2 linked regions of the Callithrix jacchus genome follow. The protein of the gene in region 2 purifies or fractionates together with the protein of the main gene of each other region. This does not show direct contact. Links are inferred from orthologs where the notes say so. Each region holds a gene or a part of one and is shown on either strand. Other genes may lie near its edges.

Region 1 (7,950 bases), on a different chromosome or scaffold from region 2:
ACATTAGTAATCAGGCAAATAAAAATCAAAACCACAGTAAAATACTATAAGCAATCACTAGAGTAAAAGGAAAAGTAGAAAGACTGACAGCACAAAGTGTTGGTGAGGATGTGGAGCAACTAAAATTCTCTCACGCTGCAAAACACTATGGCCACTTCAGAAAACGGCTTGGCAGTTTCTTATAAAGTTATACATACACTGATAAAGGACCTAGCAGTCTTACTCCTAAGTACCTACCCATGAGAAATCACAGTGAATTCAAAGTCTACACAAATATTTATAGTGCTTTTATTCATAATAGCTCCATACTGGAAAGACCTCAAATGTGATCAACTGGAGAATGGATCTGTGGAACATCCAAACAACGGAGAGCTACTTGGCTATACAAATGGATTAGCTACTGATATACAAACAGTATACTGGGCTAGGAACTCATACATACATAAAAAAGCATACACTGTATGATTCCATCTATATGAAATTCTAGAATAGACAAAACTAATCTTTAGCATTGAAAAGCAGATTCAGTAGTTGCCTAGGGCCAACCAAGTGACTATAAAGGGGAAGAAAGGACTTTCTAAGGTAATTGAAATGTTCCCTAACTTACACAGGTACATACATTATCAGAACAACTGACATTTAAAATGAGTATTTTTATTGTATACAAATTATATTTGAACAGAAGTTACTGATTTTTTTTTTTGTTGAGATCGAGTCTTGCTCTGTTCCCCAGGCTAGAGTGTAGTGGCATGATCACTGCTCACTACAACCTTCGCCTCCCAGGTTTAAGCAATTCTTCTTGCCTTAGCCCCCTGAGTAACTGGGATTACAGGCACCCGCCATCACACCTGACTAATTTTTGAATATTTAGTAAAGATGGGGTATCAACAGGCTGGTCTCGAACTCCTGACCTCAGGTGATCTGCCCACCTTGGCCTCCCCAAAGTGCTGGAATTACAGGCGTGAGCCACCACTCCTAGCCAGAAAAATTATTAAAGTAGATGGGTGGTTGAGAGCTTGAAATGTAAAAAGGGAAAAATAAAACTAGAAAATAATTTGATGACGGTGATTTTCAAAATCAAAGAACCTATATAATCATTTGGAACATTCTCATAAGTGTTTACCAAAAGATTAATGTTTTATTAACAAATATTTAATTTAGCTTCCAAACAGACTCCCCAAATAAAACACTATTGTGCCAATTCAAAGCCTAATAGAAAGTTTCAACAAAATAAGGCTTAAAAATATATATAAAATCATTTTCAAAAACAGATCATTAAATACCCTTCCTTCCCTTTGATACCATCTCTTGAAGTACATATTTCTGCCCTCCCTGTTCTCATTCTCTTCCTCCTGCTGTATTACCTGAGGGGAGGCCAAGCCCTGAGCGTAAGGTGGCAGGCTGTTGTTCTGATCCATGATGTTCACTTCCTTCTTGGCAAACCAGAAACCCTTGGGCTGGAACTTGTCTCACCATTCAATTTTTTCCTAGCGCATCTCCAGCACACTCTTCTCAGCAACTTCCTCAATTCCTTGGGTTATCTTCACACACCAAGAGACAGTGATGCTGCTTTGGAAAAAAGCCTGAAGTTTAATGTAAGGATTCAGGTAACCTGTACAGTCCTATAAGCCAGTTCCATGGCTATACAAAACACAAACAAGAAAACCAATGAAGCTATTTTGGAATACATTGCCTTTTGCTTTATAATCCTGAAGTCTTATTCCTTCCATGTTTCCTGTGATTACATGTAAAATCGCCAACAAAAGTCATTTTGTTACGCATTTAAATACTATGATGATGCATCAAAAACTTTTGAGGAAAAATACTGAGAGGAAACTAATTCCTAAGCAAACTGTAATATCACAGCAGAGTATTCGTTAAGCACTGTATATACAGCACAGTTAAGCAAAGTTCAGATCTTTATTCCAATTTTATATCCTCTATAATGTCTTGGGCAAAAAATTAAGTAAATATACTTCAGTGATCAGTTATTGAGCTCCTACTATAATAAAACTAAAAAAAAAAGCTGCACAAAGATAAAACCCTGCATTTTTGTAAATAATAACCTTACCTCTTTAGAACACATTAATGCAAACCGTGCCTGTTATCTGGCTTTTCTTAAATCATCATCTCTTTACTCATGTCCATATCTGAAATGAGTTTATAATAACAACATATTCTCACCCAGAACTTCAGGTCTCAAAGTTACAAATTATATGTCCAAAGACCCTTCAGGCATATGCACTTCAAGCATGTGCTGGTACACAATAGACACTCAGATATTTGTGAAGGAATGAAAGATTCTGAGGATCGCTTTGAAAGGGCTAAGGCCCCCAGACTCTGTATCCTACCTACTCATCACTGAAAAAATGGCCAAAAAAGAAAGCAAGCGAACTCTGCTTCTGAAAATAAAAATATCAGAGATGTTTTTAAAATTATACTTTTTGACAGTTACCGTATAATAACAATAACAGAAGTGATGCAGATGAGGATGTAAAGATTAGGAGGTTATAGTCCTTGGCATCAAAATGTTCAATATAAAGGGTATGCAAATCATTACTATAAAACATAGTATAATAGCAGGTGTGCCCTAAGCTAAGTTTCTTTTTTTTTTTTTTTTTTTTTTTTTGAGACGGAGTTTCGCTCTTGTTACCCAGGCTGGAGTGCAATGGCACGATCTCGGCTCACCGCAACCTCCGCCTCCTGGGTTCAGGCAATTCTTCTGCCTCAGCCTCCTGAGTAGCTGGGATTACAGACACACGCCACCACGCCCAACTAACTTTTTGTATTTTTAGTAGAGACGGGGTTTCACCATGTTGACCAGGATGGTCTCGATCTCTTGACCTCGTGATTCACCCGCCTCGGCCTCCCAAAGTGCTGGGATTACAGGCGTGAGCCACCGCGCCCGGCCAGCTAAGTTTCTTGAATGTAGAAACCAGTCTTTGTCATCCCTGCATCTAGCACTATGCCTGGAATACAGTATGTGATCATGAATAAGTGCATATATGCCCCTGGAAGAGAAGACATATAGACTAACAGCACACTACTATGAAGAGGGGCAGTGTTTTCACAAAACAAGGACCATCTAACTTGGGTCTCACAAGGTGAATAGGAATTTACAGGTCAGGGCTTCAGATAAACGAGGTAACATTGAAAAAGCATGCCGTATGAAGGTGACAAGCTTAGTATGACTGTATAGGTCACTACAGGAGATGAGACGGCAAATATTGGTAGGCTCTTATCACTTTTTGCACGTAAGTCTACAGAAGAAACCGCACAGTGGTTACTGCACTTTCTCCCTAGAAAAGGGTTGTTTGCTGGGTCTCTTCATCTCTTCGAAATTGAAACATCAAATTCGATATTTTTTGGAGGCAATCTAACTCTGCATAGCCTTCTAGTGTCTGTATATCTAAATGAAGCATAGTCTTTTCACAGAAAAGCCTACCTAGAGATTTGGAAAACCATGATGGCCTGAACCGAGAGATGGGAGGCCCTGTAAACAAAGTGATGTGTACTGTATCTTAAGCGCTACTGTGTCCGCTGTCTCAGGCTTCTGACAAAGTATTTAAGTCTCAATGTTGGTAGCAAAATAGGCGGGCACAGACCACAGTGAATCTGCCTTCAAACATGGAGAAGAAGCGGGTGGCAGGCCAGGGCAGAATAAACTTCGGGTCTTCGATGCAAGGGATTGCCCTGTCCCGCCCGCCGCCGCCGAGCCCGCCAGTACCCTGCGCCCCACGCTCGTATGACGGGAAGCCGCTTGCGAACCACAGCGGAATAGGGCACCAGGCGAAAGCGGCGGCCGAGTGGCCGTTACAGGCCGGAACGGCGGCAGCACGAGCGGGAGGAACGTCCCCTGCAGGGCCTGCGCGCGCCAATTCCTTGTCTCTTCCCCACCATCGCCCCCAGGCCTCAATGCAGTGGTCGCCTCCGCCCGAACCCTCAGAAAAGAGGACAAGCTGTTACCTGGGTCACTGCAGAAATTACTATGAGCCCGCGGAAACGAAGTTAAACAGCCGGCGGCCCAGGCGCCCGCCACAGGAACCCTGCCCGACCCCACTGAACTCCAGGCGCGCGTTGATAATGTCACTTCCGCCAGTTCTGCCCTCGGCTTCAGCGAATTGTTCTCACTGGGGTCGTGGCCATGCGAAGTGTGGGCACTTGCTCACTTCCTGTGTTTCCGTAGGCGTGTAGTTTAAGGGAAGGAGGGGCGAAGCTCTTGAGGAGTTCCGGGACTGGGCGGGCGCACCACCGCTGTCTCTAATTGGCCCTTGCTGGGCATAGGAAAGATCAATTTTTAAATGGTGTGTGTGTTTCAAGCAACTAGAGGCGTTACCGTTGGCAAGTTCCCTGACTTCTTCCCCGCAGTTTCTTCTGTAAAATTTAATAATGATGATACTAGTGCTTAACTTTGGGCTCTCTGGAGACTGACAGTCAATGCCTGAGCAGTGCCTGGCACTCAGTAAGCGCGTGCTCCTTACCTGTCAGCAACAACGCTAGCTGATCTTCAAGCGTGTAGAATGACTAGGAACACTAAGCAAAACACAAGCCGCTTCAGGCACTGTGGTCAAAGGCTCGATCCGCAGTTGTTTCCTAGTGGGACGTCAGCACGCCTTTATTTTACCTTCTATAGTTCGTTTTGGCGGAATCATATATTATACCGCTTGTTTCCTTTGGACTTTCTATTATCAGTGAGGTTGTGAGCTCTTTAAGGATAGGAAATGTTACATACATTTTGTATTAGCCAGGACAATTTAGGCTGTTACTATTATTCCAGTTGCCGTTGCTCCACAGTTTTGGCAAATTTTTGCACGGTCAGACTTTTAAAATTTTGTCCATATGGGTGAATTCCAATCTTTTCTTCGGGGGAAAAACAAAAAACAAAAACCTTAATATCTTTCTGGTAATGGGCAGGACCCAACTATGAAAGGGACTAGCGGCAGAGCAGCCCTCCAGGAGCAACGACTAGTGCGAGATAGAGAGGCCGGGAGCGAGTTACAGGAAAGCCGGAAGTGGCGTAACGTCCGGTCAGGGCGGCCATCTCGCCGTGAGGCAGCAGGAGTAGCGGCCGGAGTTGCGGGCGCTTCAGTGAGATGTTGTCCTCTACAGCCATGTATTCGGGTCCTGGCAGAGAGCTGGGAATGGAGCCGCACAGAGCTGCGGGACCTCTGCAGCTACGATTTTCGCCCTACGCTTTCAACGGAGGGTAAAAACCCTTGAGAGCCGCAGCTTTCACTTTCGCCCTCCCCCCATCTGCTGAAGCCTATTTGGGGGTCACCGCCGCGAAGGCGCTGCCCAGATCCCCTGCAGGCCTCAGAACCCTGAGCTGAGTGGGTCCGCACAAGGCCGGTCTTCCTGCCGTCCTCTCTTGCGCTGTTTCCCCCTTTAGGCTCGCTTTGCTCTGGTTTACTTGGTGATTGCGATACAGCCTCGGTTTTTAGGGTTTCCCATTACCGCCTGGTTGGCTGGGTCTGTGCGGACCGCCACTCCATGCTCCTTGCTGCTGTAAGACGGTCGACAGCTTCCGCCCATATGGAAGACCTTTAAAACTATCTTAGCTTTTCGCAGAGTCTGAACACGTTTCTTAAGCCAGCAGGCGAGGACAGAGGTCTAGCGTCTGAAACTAAAAAGTTAGGATTGTTTGGTCTGTGTTGTTAGATGCATAGTTGTGTCGGTAGGGAACGTCTCATTGTAGCTGCCTGACTTCCGTTATCTCTAATTGTGCAGTTTAGTCATTGTCTTTTATTTCAAATAGAAGGTGGGATTGATTGAGCAAACAATTTCGTAGATAAGTGCTTTTTTTTTTTTTAACGTTCGGCTTAAGTTCAGGAAAAAAAAAATAGAAGATGGACCTTGTAATATGTGGGTTCTTGCATGTTCAAGTTTGGTTTTTATTTTAATTACCAGCTTTATTTTGAGTAATAAAATTTCCCGTGGTGGTACACCAGAGATTTAGAGTTACAGAAAGATGCTCTGTTTAAGAGTCTTGACAGGGAAGAGCTGTAAATTTAAGCAGTGGTTATAGTTATCAATTAAGCTTAGTATATTAAAATATAAACACTCAATTTAGAACAGATGGTTCTTTAAGAAAATCAAAAATATTGGCTGGGCACCATGGCTCGCCCCTGTAATCCCAGCACTTTGGGACGCCAAGACAGGAGGATCATCTCTTGAGGCCAGGAGTTGAAGACCAGCCCCATCTCTACAAAAAAAAACTTTAAAAAAATTTAAAAAGCAAAAATATTAATTGCTTCCTCATAAATTTCAAATATTAACGCACGTTTTTGGAGTGTGATAGATAAGGAAAGACTGATTTTAGCTTCGATTCTGCCACTAAAGGATAGTGTGGTCTTTGGGTACTTCTGAACTTCTTGAACCTAAATTTCCTTATCTTCCTTAGCAGCTTCATAGTTTTTGGTGAGAAACATGAGAGATGTATTTTGTAAATTGTAAGCCGTCATCTTATTTAATCCTCTAACACTTCCTGTGATGACTCATTAAGTTATATATTGTAGGGAGGGTTATTGGACCCATTTTGTAAGACTATTTCCCATAAATAAGAATTTTCAGTGTTAAGTATGCCCTACTCATTACTCGCTTTTTACTCCCTTGTAATTCGGTTTATGCCATTACTGCCCTAAAAGTTACTTAGAACTTTCTGATTACTTTTCCTTAGCGTTTGTTCTTTTTCTTTCGTGTTTATTGCAGCTGGCTCTCAGGTAGTCTTTGCTTCCACAAAATGAGGCCTAGTTCTTTCTTTCTACTCTCTTTAGATGTAGTTAAACAAATCATTAGGTGCTTTATCACTCAGCACTCTTAATGTCTCATTCCTGGGAGGATTAATCCCAAATCTGATTTTTTAGTTCTGCCTCTCATGAGTCCCTCGATTCTTGCTTCTTCAGTAAACGTTTCTTTTTATTTGTTTATTCATTCATTCATTCATTCATTTTTATGAAGACAGGGTTTCACCATGTTGGCCAGGCTGGTCTTGAACTCTACCTCAGGTGATCCGCCCACCTCGGCCTCCCAGAGTGTTGAAATTACAGGCATGAGCCACCATGCCTGGCCAGAAAAACATTTCTATCGGGTTTTTCTGCTCTTATGGTAAATCAAGACAGGTAACAAAACAAAAAGCAAGCTAATTATTCCTCTCAATTTCCTCTCCTCCTTTGTTTTTATTATTATTATTTTTTTTTTGAGATGGAATCTCACTCTGTAGCCCAGCCTTGAGTGCAGTGGCACAGTCTCGGCTCATCGCAACCTCCACCTCCCGAATGCAAGCAATTCTCCTGCCTCAGCCTCCTGAGTAGCTGGAATTACAGGCACCCACCACCACGCCTGGCTAATTTTTTCTATTTTTAGTAGAGAGGGGTTTCGCCGTGTTGGCCAGTCTGGTCTCAAACTCTTGAATTCAGGCAAATTCAAACTCCGGAAATTCGCCTGCCTCAGCCTCCCGAAGTGCTGGGATTACAGGCATGAGCCACTGTGCCCAGCCTCCTCTCCACCATTAAAATACTTATAATTATGCCATCATTCTGCTCATATAAGTTCTAAACCTTGGATGTTATTATTGGTTTTCCCAGTTCCTAACACATTTAAGTAGATATAAAAACATGTCTATTTTGTGTATTTGTGATGATTTTGGATTTACCTGTTCGTTCCCTGTTCACCTGCTACCTTACCATTGTGTTAGTAGTATTAGAACAATATTTCCATCCCATTTCATAATTATGTATTGTCAGAGTAGTCTTCCTAAAACCCCACTTTTTAAATGGGACTTTTCTCTCTCTCTCTTTCTTTTTTTAAAGACCAGGTCTCACTCTAAAATGCCCAGATACAGTCATAGCTCACTGCAGCCTTGAACACCTGGGCTCAAGCAGTCCTCCCTCCTCAGCCTCCTGAGTAGTTACAACTACAGATCATTCTTGCTCAGAAAACCTTCATCATACC
Region 2 (7,882 bases):
GAATATAAGTCATTCTACCATAAAGACACATGCAGGCCAGGTGCAGTGGCTCCCGCCTTAATCCTAGCACTTTGGGAGGCCGAGACGGGTGGCTCACTTGGGGTCAGGAGTTCAAGACCAGCCTAGCCAATATGATGAAACCCTGTCTCTACAAAAATATATATGTGTGTGTGTGTGTGTGTGTAAACTAGCTGGAAATCACTTGAACCTAGGAGGCAGAGGTTGCAATGAGCCAAGATCGCACCACTACACTCCAGCCTGGGCAACAGAGTAATACTCCATCTCAAAAAAAAAACAAAAAAACAAAACACACATGTGAATGTTCATTGCAGCACTATGCAAAATAGTAAAGACATGGAATCAACCTAAATGCCCATCAATGACAGATTATATAAAGAAAATGTGGTACACATACACCATGGAATATTATGCAGCTATAAAAATGAACAAGATCAGGTCTTTTGTGAGAACATGGATGGAGCTGGAGGCCATTATCCTTGGCAAACTAACACAGGAATGGAAAATCAAATACCACGTGTCCTTACTCATAAGTGGGAGGTAAATGATGAAAACTCACGGACACAAAGAGGGGAACAACAGACAATGGGGCCTACTTAAGGTTGGAGGGTGGGAGGTGGGAGAGGATTAGGAAAAATAACTATTGGGTACTAGGGTGACAAGATAATCTGTATGACAAACTGCTGTGACACAAGTTTACCTATATAACAAACCTCCACATAGATCCCTGAACATAAAATAAGATTTTTTTAATGTGGTGCTTATATATAACGGAGTACTATTCAGCCATAAAAAAGAATGAGATCCTATCATTTGCAACCATATGGATGGAACTGGAGATCATTATGGAAAGTGAAATAAGCCAAGCACAGAAAGACAAACATCACATGTTTTACTTATTTATGGGATCTAAAACTCAACACAGCTGAACTCATGGACACAGAGAGCAGAAAAATGGTAACCAGAGGCTTGAAAGGATAGTGGGAGGGTAGAGGGGCAGATAGGTTTATGTGTACAACAAAATAGAAACAACGAATAAGACCTGATATTTGCTAGCACAACAGGGTGACTATAGTCAGTAATTTAATTGTACACTTTAAAACAACTAAAAGTACAATTGGACTGCTTGTAATACAAAGGATAAATGCTTAAAGAGATGGATATCCTATTTTCCATAATGTGATTGTTTCACATTGTGTGCATGAGTCAAAACATTTCATGTACCCCATAAATATACTTACTATATACACAGAAAAATTAAAAATTAAAATTATATATAGATAGGTGATAGCTGTTTATCTTATTGTATTTATATTCTTTTAAAAGTCGTATCCTTCTGTATATAAAGAATACACACCACAACTTACAAAATGTAAATGTGCAAGAGTTAAAACAAATTGTGACAGAGGACAGAAATATAATGAAAAATCGTTAGATTTTCTCACACCTATTATTTAACTTATACTACTGTTAATACTAATGGCCACTGTTTAGTCCTAATGTTTTGTTTAAATAGCACTTATGTAACAGAAAATAATACATAAAAAACATATAACTTCAAATACTTATTCTTAAGTAATGATACATATGCACAATTATTTATGTTATGGGTTTTCTTCATCTAGTACATCTATGTCCTGGGTTGGCTCTCTGAAGGTTGGTCACCCTAAGATTATAGTACCATCTTGTTTATATAAAAAATATATAAACAAGATACTATTTGTAAATTGCATAGAATAGAAACTGGTAAACAATGGTGCCTTCTGTGAAAGTGACATCAGTGGCCGGAACAGGTAAGAAAGATTTTCTTTTAGTAGGATATTTTAAAATACTCTTAAATGTTGTACTCTGCAAATATACCAGCTATTTTTTTTTCTTTTTCTGAGACGGAGTCTGGGCTCACTGCAGCCTCCACCTCCCTTGTTCCAGCAATTCTCCTGCCTCAGCCTCCTGAGTAGGTGGTACTACAGGCATGAGCCACCATGCCAGGCTAATTTCGGTATTTTTAGTAGAGAAAGGGTTTCACCATGTTGGCCAGGCTGGTCTCAAACTCCTGACCTTAAGTGATCAGCCCGCCTGGGGCTCTCAAACTGCTGAGATTATAGGCGTGAGCCACTGTGCCCAGCCTCCACCTATTTTTAAATGTTGTATCCTGCAAATATTGTAAACCAAGGGAACTGTTATTAATTTTACACAGAGGCTGGCCACAGTGACAGTGGGGAAAGGCACCGTCTCAGCATGGGAGCACATGCTCTCACTGGAAACAATGTATCGATAACACGTGTTTCTTGGCACTCCGGCCCAAACTTCAAGATGGCGGACGAGTGGACGGCTGGTTGTGGCGAGTCTGATAAGGTGAGCTGCTCCACAAAACTGAAGGGCCCACTAAGCCTGAGAAATCAGTATGTATTTGTGTATGTGTTTGTGAGGAGAGTTACTGGAGGGTTTTAAGGAAAACAGTGATTGGATTTATAACTAAAAGGTACCTCTAGCTGTGTAAGAAAGGGGAGGGGGACCCTATTTGGGGAGCATATTTCCGTAATCTTGATGAGTAAGGATGTTGGCTTGGACTCGTTAGCATCATAGTAGTACTGGATGGAGATGTGTGAAGACATGGATAGAAATTTGGGAGGTCACCCGGACAAGACTTGTTGCTAGATTGAGTGTGGATTGTGAGGTAAACAGCAATATGGCTGCCTGCCGGTTACACCCTCCGGCCTGAGCGAGTCGTGGTGCCTCTTCCTGAGATGGAAAATGCTAGGGCATTGGTGGATGTGGAGGGTAAGAATGAGTTATCTGCGACATTTTAAGACAGACATAGTGAACTGATGCACATTTTTGAAAGTCACTGGGGCTGGATGGTCGGTTCTTACGAAAGTTATTCGGGCTGTTCTGTGGGGAGGGGCTGGGAAGGGTGTAACTGGGAGGCAAGGAAAGGTCCTGCGTTTGGCCTCAACGGGGACAGACAGGAAGCTGCTCAAAGCCAAGTGAAGGCTTTAGTTTTTCATCAGGGTGAAATGGGCAGCCACAGTAGGGCTTTGAGTGTGACAAGAGCAGACCAAAGACCGGCTGTATGGAGAGCAGTCTATTGGGTAGGGTTGCCAGATTTAGCTAATAAAAATCCCGGACACCCGTTCAAATATGAATATCAGATCAACAATTATTTCGTAGCATAAGTACGGCCCATGCGAATTTGGGATATACTAAAAATGTATTCCTTGTTGATATAACATTCAAATCTAACGGGTCCAACTGTGTTGTACCAAGCAGCCCTAACACTAACTAGGTCTGGAATTTCTGTAAGCCAAAAGGGGCGATGGTAGAAGCGGTGGAGGTGTCAGGAGGGACCCCCGCAAAGGTGAGCTTTTCCCATTTGGTGCCCTTTGACTCAGAACAACTCTGGGAAGTCGAGCCTCTCGGCTCTTCTACTTCTTTTAGCCCATAGCAGGCTCCACGGGGAAGGATTCCCTGCCTCTTCCAATCCTTCTGACCACTGACGCCCGAGCGCGTCTCTTCCCCCTGGCCAGCGTCTTGCTGAAACTCCCGCCCCCGGCGGCTGGCACGTAACCCCGCCTTCTACTTCCCTCCTCCCGCTCCCCGCAGGGGTGGGGCCTGAGTGAGGAGACCGCGAGCTGCCCCCTCTCCCCGGATGACGAGTCCCTGGATAACATGGAGTCGGGCAAGATGGCGCCTCCCAAGAACGCTCCGAGAGATGCCTTGGTAAGTGCGAAGGATGAGCGGCGGAGCGCGAAGCCGGGTGCGGCCAGGGACCTGCGAGGCAAGGCCACGTTGAGGGCCTAAAGGCGGACTCGCGCGCTCACTTCAGTCCAGTCAGGGCCGCCAGGAGGAGAGGGTGATGGGGATGCGCCCTGGCCCCGGGGCCCCTCTCTCGCCGCTCGGGCCAAGCCTTACCAGGGGGTCGCGGTCCAGCAAAGCTTGCGGAACGGCTGCCCAGCTTTGTGTCCTGGGCTTCGGGCCCCTGCCGCCTCCTCGTCTCGACCTGCCAGCCTTGACTCCGCGTCCAGGGTTCTGATGCTAGCTTAACTCGCTGCCAAAACCAAAAATGACAGCCAGCTGGAGCTACCCCTACTTCTGCTGGAGAACCCAACTCCTGTCTTCTCTTTGCCCCCCCCCCACCGGTCCCCAACCCCGCCAAAAAATAAAAATAAAACTTTTCAGCAAAAGCGTACTATGCGATTTGGTGTGATCACTGACTCACTTGGGAGGACAAGGGTGAGTAGAACTTTGAAGCCCAAAGAAAGGGAACCTTGTATAATAAATGTAAATACTACCCTTCAGGCTAGCCTTGATTTCCAGTACCAAATTCTGCATCTGGCGTTTTTATTTGAATCCACAGGTGATGGCACAGATCCTGAAGGATATGGGAATCACAGAGTACGAACCAAGGGTTATAAATCAAATGTTGGAATTTGCTTTCCGTAAGTTAAACACCAAAAACTTGCCTAACTTGTGAATTTGAAAAGATATTTTTATTGTAGGAAGTTTTTTTTTGAGACAGGGTTTTCCTCTGTCGCCCAGGCTGGAGGGCAGTGGCACAATCTCGGCTCATTGCAGCCTCCCCCTCCTGCCTCCCATTGCAGCCTGAACCCTCCTGGGTTCAAGCTATTCTCATGCCTCAGCCTCCTGAGTAGCTGGGACTACAGGCACGCACCACCACGCCGGGCTAAGTTTGGTATTTGTAGTAGAGGCGGGGTTTTGCCACACTGCCCAGGCTGGTCTTGAACTCCTGACTCGGGTTATCTGCCCATCTCGGCCTCCCAAAGTGCTGGCATTACAGGTAGTGCCCAGCCTTGTGAGAACATTTTCAACTAAATTACGTTAATAGAATCATAGGATTCAGCCTAAAGCAGTTAAAAAGGAGCTCGAGCTAGGGGACAGTAGTACTCACGTGGTTATATCTGTTTAAAATTGATCATATAGACAGGACAATTAGCTATTAAAGGCAGCATTTAGGCTGGTCACAGTAGCTTACACCTGTAATCTCAGCACTTTGGGAGGCTGAGGTGGGAGGCCAGGAGTTCGAGTTATGCCTGGGCAACATAGTGAGACCCCATCTCTTCAGAAAACAAAAAATTCATAAACTGTCTACAAATTAGTGGAAACTTGTATTAAGACAAATAGCCATAAATACTAAGCTGTCTTCATATGTTTAAGAAAAGATTGTTTTGTTCTTAAAGGATATGTGACTACAATTCTGGATGATGCAAAAATTTATTCAAGCCATGCTAAGAAACCCAATGTTGATGCAGATGATGTGAGACTGGCAATCCAGTGTCGTGCTGATCAGTCTTTTACCTCTCCTCCCCCAAGAGATGTGAGCAAACTTTGATTTGAAGTTATTTTTACTTAAAATTTTTTAATCTGTAGTTCTAATAAGGATTTTTTTTCTTTTTTAGTTTTTACTGGACATCGCAAGGCAGAAAAATCAAACACCTTTGCCACTGATTAAGCCATATGCAGGACCTAGACTGCCACCTGATAGATACTGCTTAACAGCTCCAAACTACAGGCTGAAGTCCTTAATTAAAAAGGTAAGAAATTTTAGTCAAGTTGGCTTTTTTCAAAAGGTGGGATATGATAGGGGTCTTTGTGAAAAGTAAATTCCTGTAGCTAGTAAAGGTTAAGATAACGGAATTTTTTTAATTTTCAAAAAATGTATACCTAGAAGGAACTTTCGTGTTCATTTAATGCAACAATCATTTTTCACATCAGGAAGTGGAGCCTGAACTCATTTATGAAGTTAGTAGCAAAGCTAGGACTGATTCCAAGCCTCATAACTCCCAATCTTTCCACTATTCGTAGTTTTTTTAGTGAGGCCTAATAACAGAGGGAATGATATACCATCAGGAATTGGGCCAGCTTTCTGAAATATGACCTAAAGCTCTCCCACCACTGAAAAAGTTATCCCCACAATAGGGTGCCTTTGTTTTCTTAAGTTCCACTATAAGAGTTTTATTCCTTTTTGGGTTAAGAAATTGACTAGTTAAGATTAAAAATCACAAGTTAGTTGTTATCCCCATTCAAATAACACTCTATCTTAAACTTTAATATTGAATAGGATTATATATGTATTCATATCTTTTTTTCCCCCCCAAGATGGAATCTTGCTGTCACCCAGCTGGAATGCAGTGTCACAATCTCAGCTAACTGCAACCTCTGCCTCCCAGGTTCAAGCAATTCTTCTGCCTCAGCCTCCCAAGTAGCTGGGATTACAGGCACCTGCCACTGCGCCCAGCTACTTTTTGTATTTTTACTAGAGACAGGGTTTCAGTATGTTGGCCAGGCTGGTATTGAACTCCTGACCTCGTAATCCACCCGTCTCAGTCTCACAGAGTTCTGGGATTACAGGCGTGAGCCACCGCACCTGGCCTTCATATCTATTTTTACATAGATAAAGACATGTATATATGTTTATGCAAACACCAGATTAAATGTTGGACTTAAAACACTGATAGAACAAAAACAGGACTTTCTTGCCATGAATTATCCATAATCATTTACAACAATAATCCTAATTTCATTCCTGGAAAATTAAGGTGTCACATCTTAACATTAATTTGTTTTTTAAATCTCCTAGGGACCTAACCAAGGGAGACTAGTTCCACGATTAAGTGTTGGTGCTGTTAGTAGCAAACCTACCACTTCTACTATAGGTAAGTGAAAGGAGAAAATGGCTTTTCTGGCTGGTAAAGCAGTACCTCAGCACTTGGTTTTGAACTATAATGCAAGACAAAAATTGAGTCAAATTCTGTATATGTGTTATTAATAATTTTATTCATCCTCTAGTAAAACTATAAATATACATGTAACTGAATTTCAAAATGAGAAAGACACAAGGAACATCTGATCTCGAATGAGTATAAAATTAGACATTGCCCACATTGTTGTTGGTATAAACTCTGATACCAAAAACAGGAGTTTACCCTTAGCTGTGTACTTTATGCTTTCTATACAAATGTATGTGTCCTTTTGACAGATCTGTGTCATTCTGTGAGCTTTTTTTGCTTTCTGATGCAATAAGATGTTCCAAACTCATGCTTTCCTGCCCAGTTCCTAGAATCATCTACTTCTCCAAAGAGCTGTGGTTCCTTTTGGTGGAGAATGGTATTCAGAATCCATTATTTGTTTCTTTTTAATATCATTGTTGTTTAGATAGTAAGGAAAACAAATAATGTACTTAGATTTTCTGACTTTTTTTCCTACATTCCTGCTGGGTTCCTTGCATAGTCTAGTAATCAAAGTATTTTCAGAAAAATCCCTCTTCATCAGTATTAAATTATTGGCTCTTATTGCTTATAACTTGAGTCCCATGGCTGCCGTATAGCTCAAGTATAAAGAGCATTTGATTTTTGAGGTGTGTAAACCCTCTCTTCATATTCTCAGGATGTAAATTTGCATTTCAGCATTGTAAAGCCACTTTGGTATAGTATCAGTTGTACATGTCTAATTACCCACCTGTGACCCTTGTGGACAGAAATCTGCATTATAATCTTTGTAAATTTTCATCATATTCTGTTTGTGGATTCACATTACTTAAATGAATACCAACTATTTTAGGCTGGTAATCAGTTTCATATGCTAGGCAGGTTAACTAATTTTAGTTATCAGTTGTGATTTTTATTCCTAGCTAGACATTTGTTCTACATACTTCAGAGATTTTTTTAAATGTAGAGGGCACTACCAAAACATACCTGATAGTTTTAAAGATGCAAGGTTTTTTTGTTATCTTGTTTTTTGTTTTTTTGAGACACAGTCTTACTCTGTCACCCAGGCTGGAGTGCAATGGAGCAATCTTGGCTTACTGCAACCTCCGCCTCCCAAGTTCAAGCAATTCTCCTGCCTC

Evidence for each region.
Region 1: the proteins of TAF9B (region 2) and TBP purify together in Homo sapiens (affinity purification with mass spectrometry; 3 studies listed by BioGRID and IntAct, with this or other methods). This does not show direct contact. The link is inferred for Callithrix jacchus from reciprocal best matches to the Homo sapiens genes TAF9B and TBP.

Annotation. Positions count from the first base shown.
Region 1 is NC_133505.1:177,175,290-177,183,239, reverse strand, and holds the start of TBP (TATA-box-binding protein), read right to left. Parts: upstream 4,062-7,950; 5' UTR 3,967-4,061; intron 3,813-3,966; exon of another isoform or gene 3,446-3,812; intron 1,570-3,445; exon of another isoform or gene 1,567-1,569; 5' UTR 1,419-1,566; coding exon 1,365-1,418; intron 1-1,364. Other genes in the region: PSMB1 (proteasome subunit beta type-1), read left to right, coding at 5,094-5,206. UniProt on the Homo sapiens protein: The TFIID basal transcription factor complex plays a major role in the initiation of RNA polymerase II (Pol II)-dependent transcription.
Region 2 is NC_133524.1:75,893,929-75,901,810, reverse strand, and holds the start of TAF9B (transcription initiation factor TFIID subunit 9B), read left to right. Parts: upstream 1-3,672; 5' UTR 3,673-3,687; coding exon 3,688-3,738; intron 3,739-4,375; coding exon 4,376-4,457; intron 4,458-5,216; coding exon 5,217-5,353; intron 5,354-5,435; coding exon 5,436-5,570; intron 5,571-6,616; coding exon 6,617-6,692; intron 6,693-7,882. UniProt on the Homo sapiens protein: Essential for cell viability. TAF9 and TAF9B are involved in transcriptional activation as well as repression of distinct but overlapping sets of genes. May have a role in gene regulation associated with apoptosis.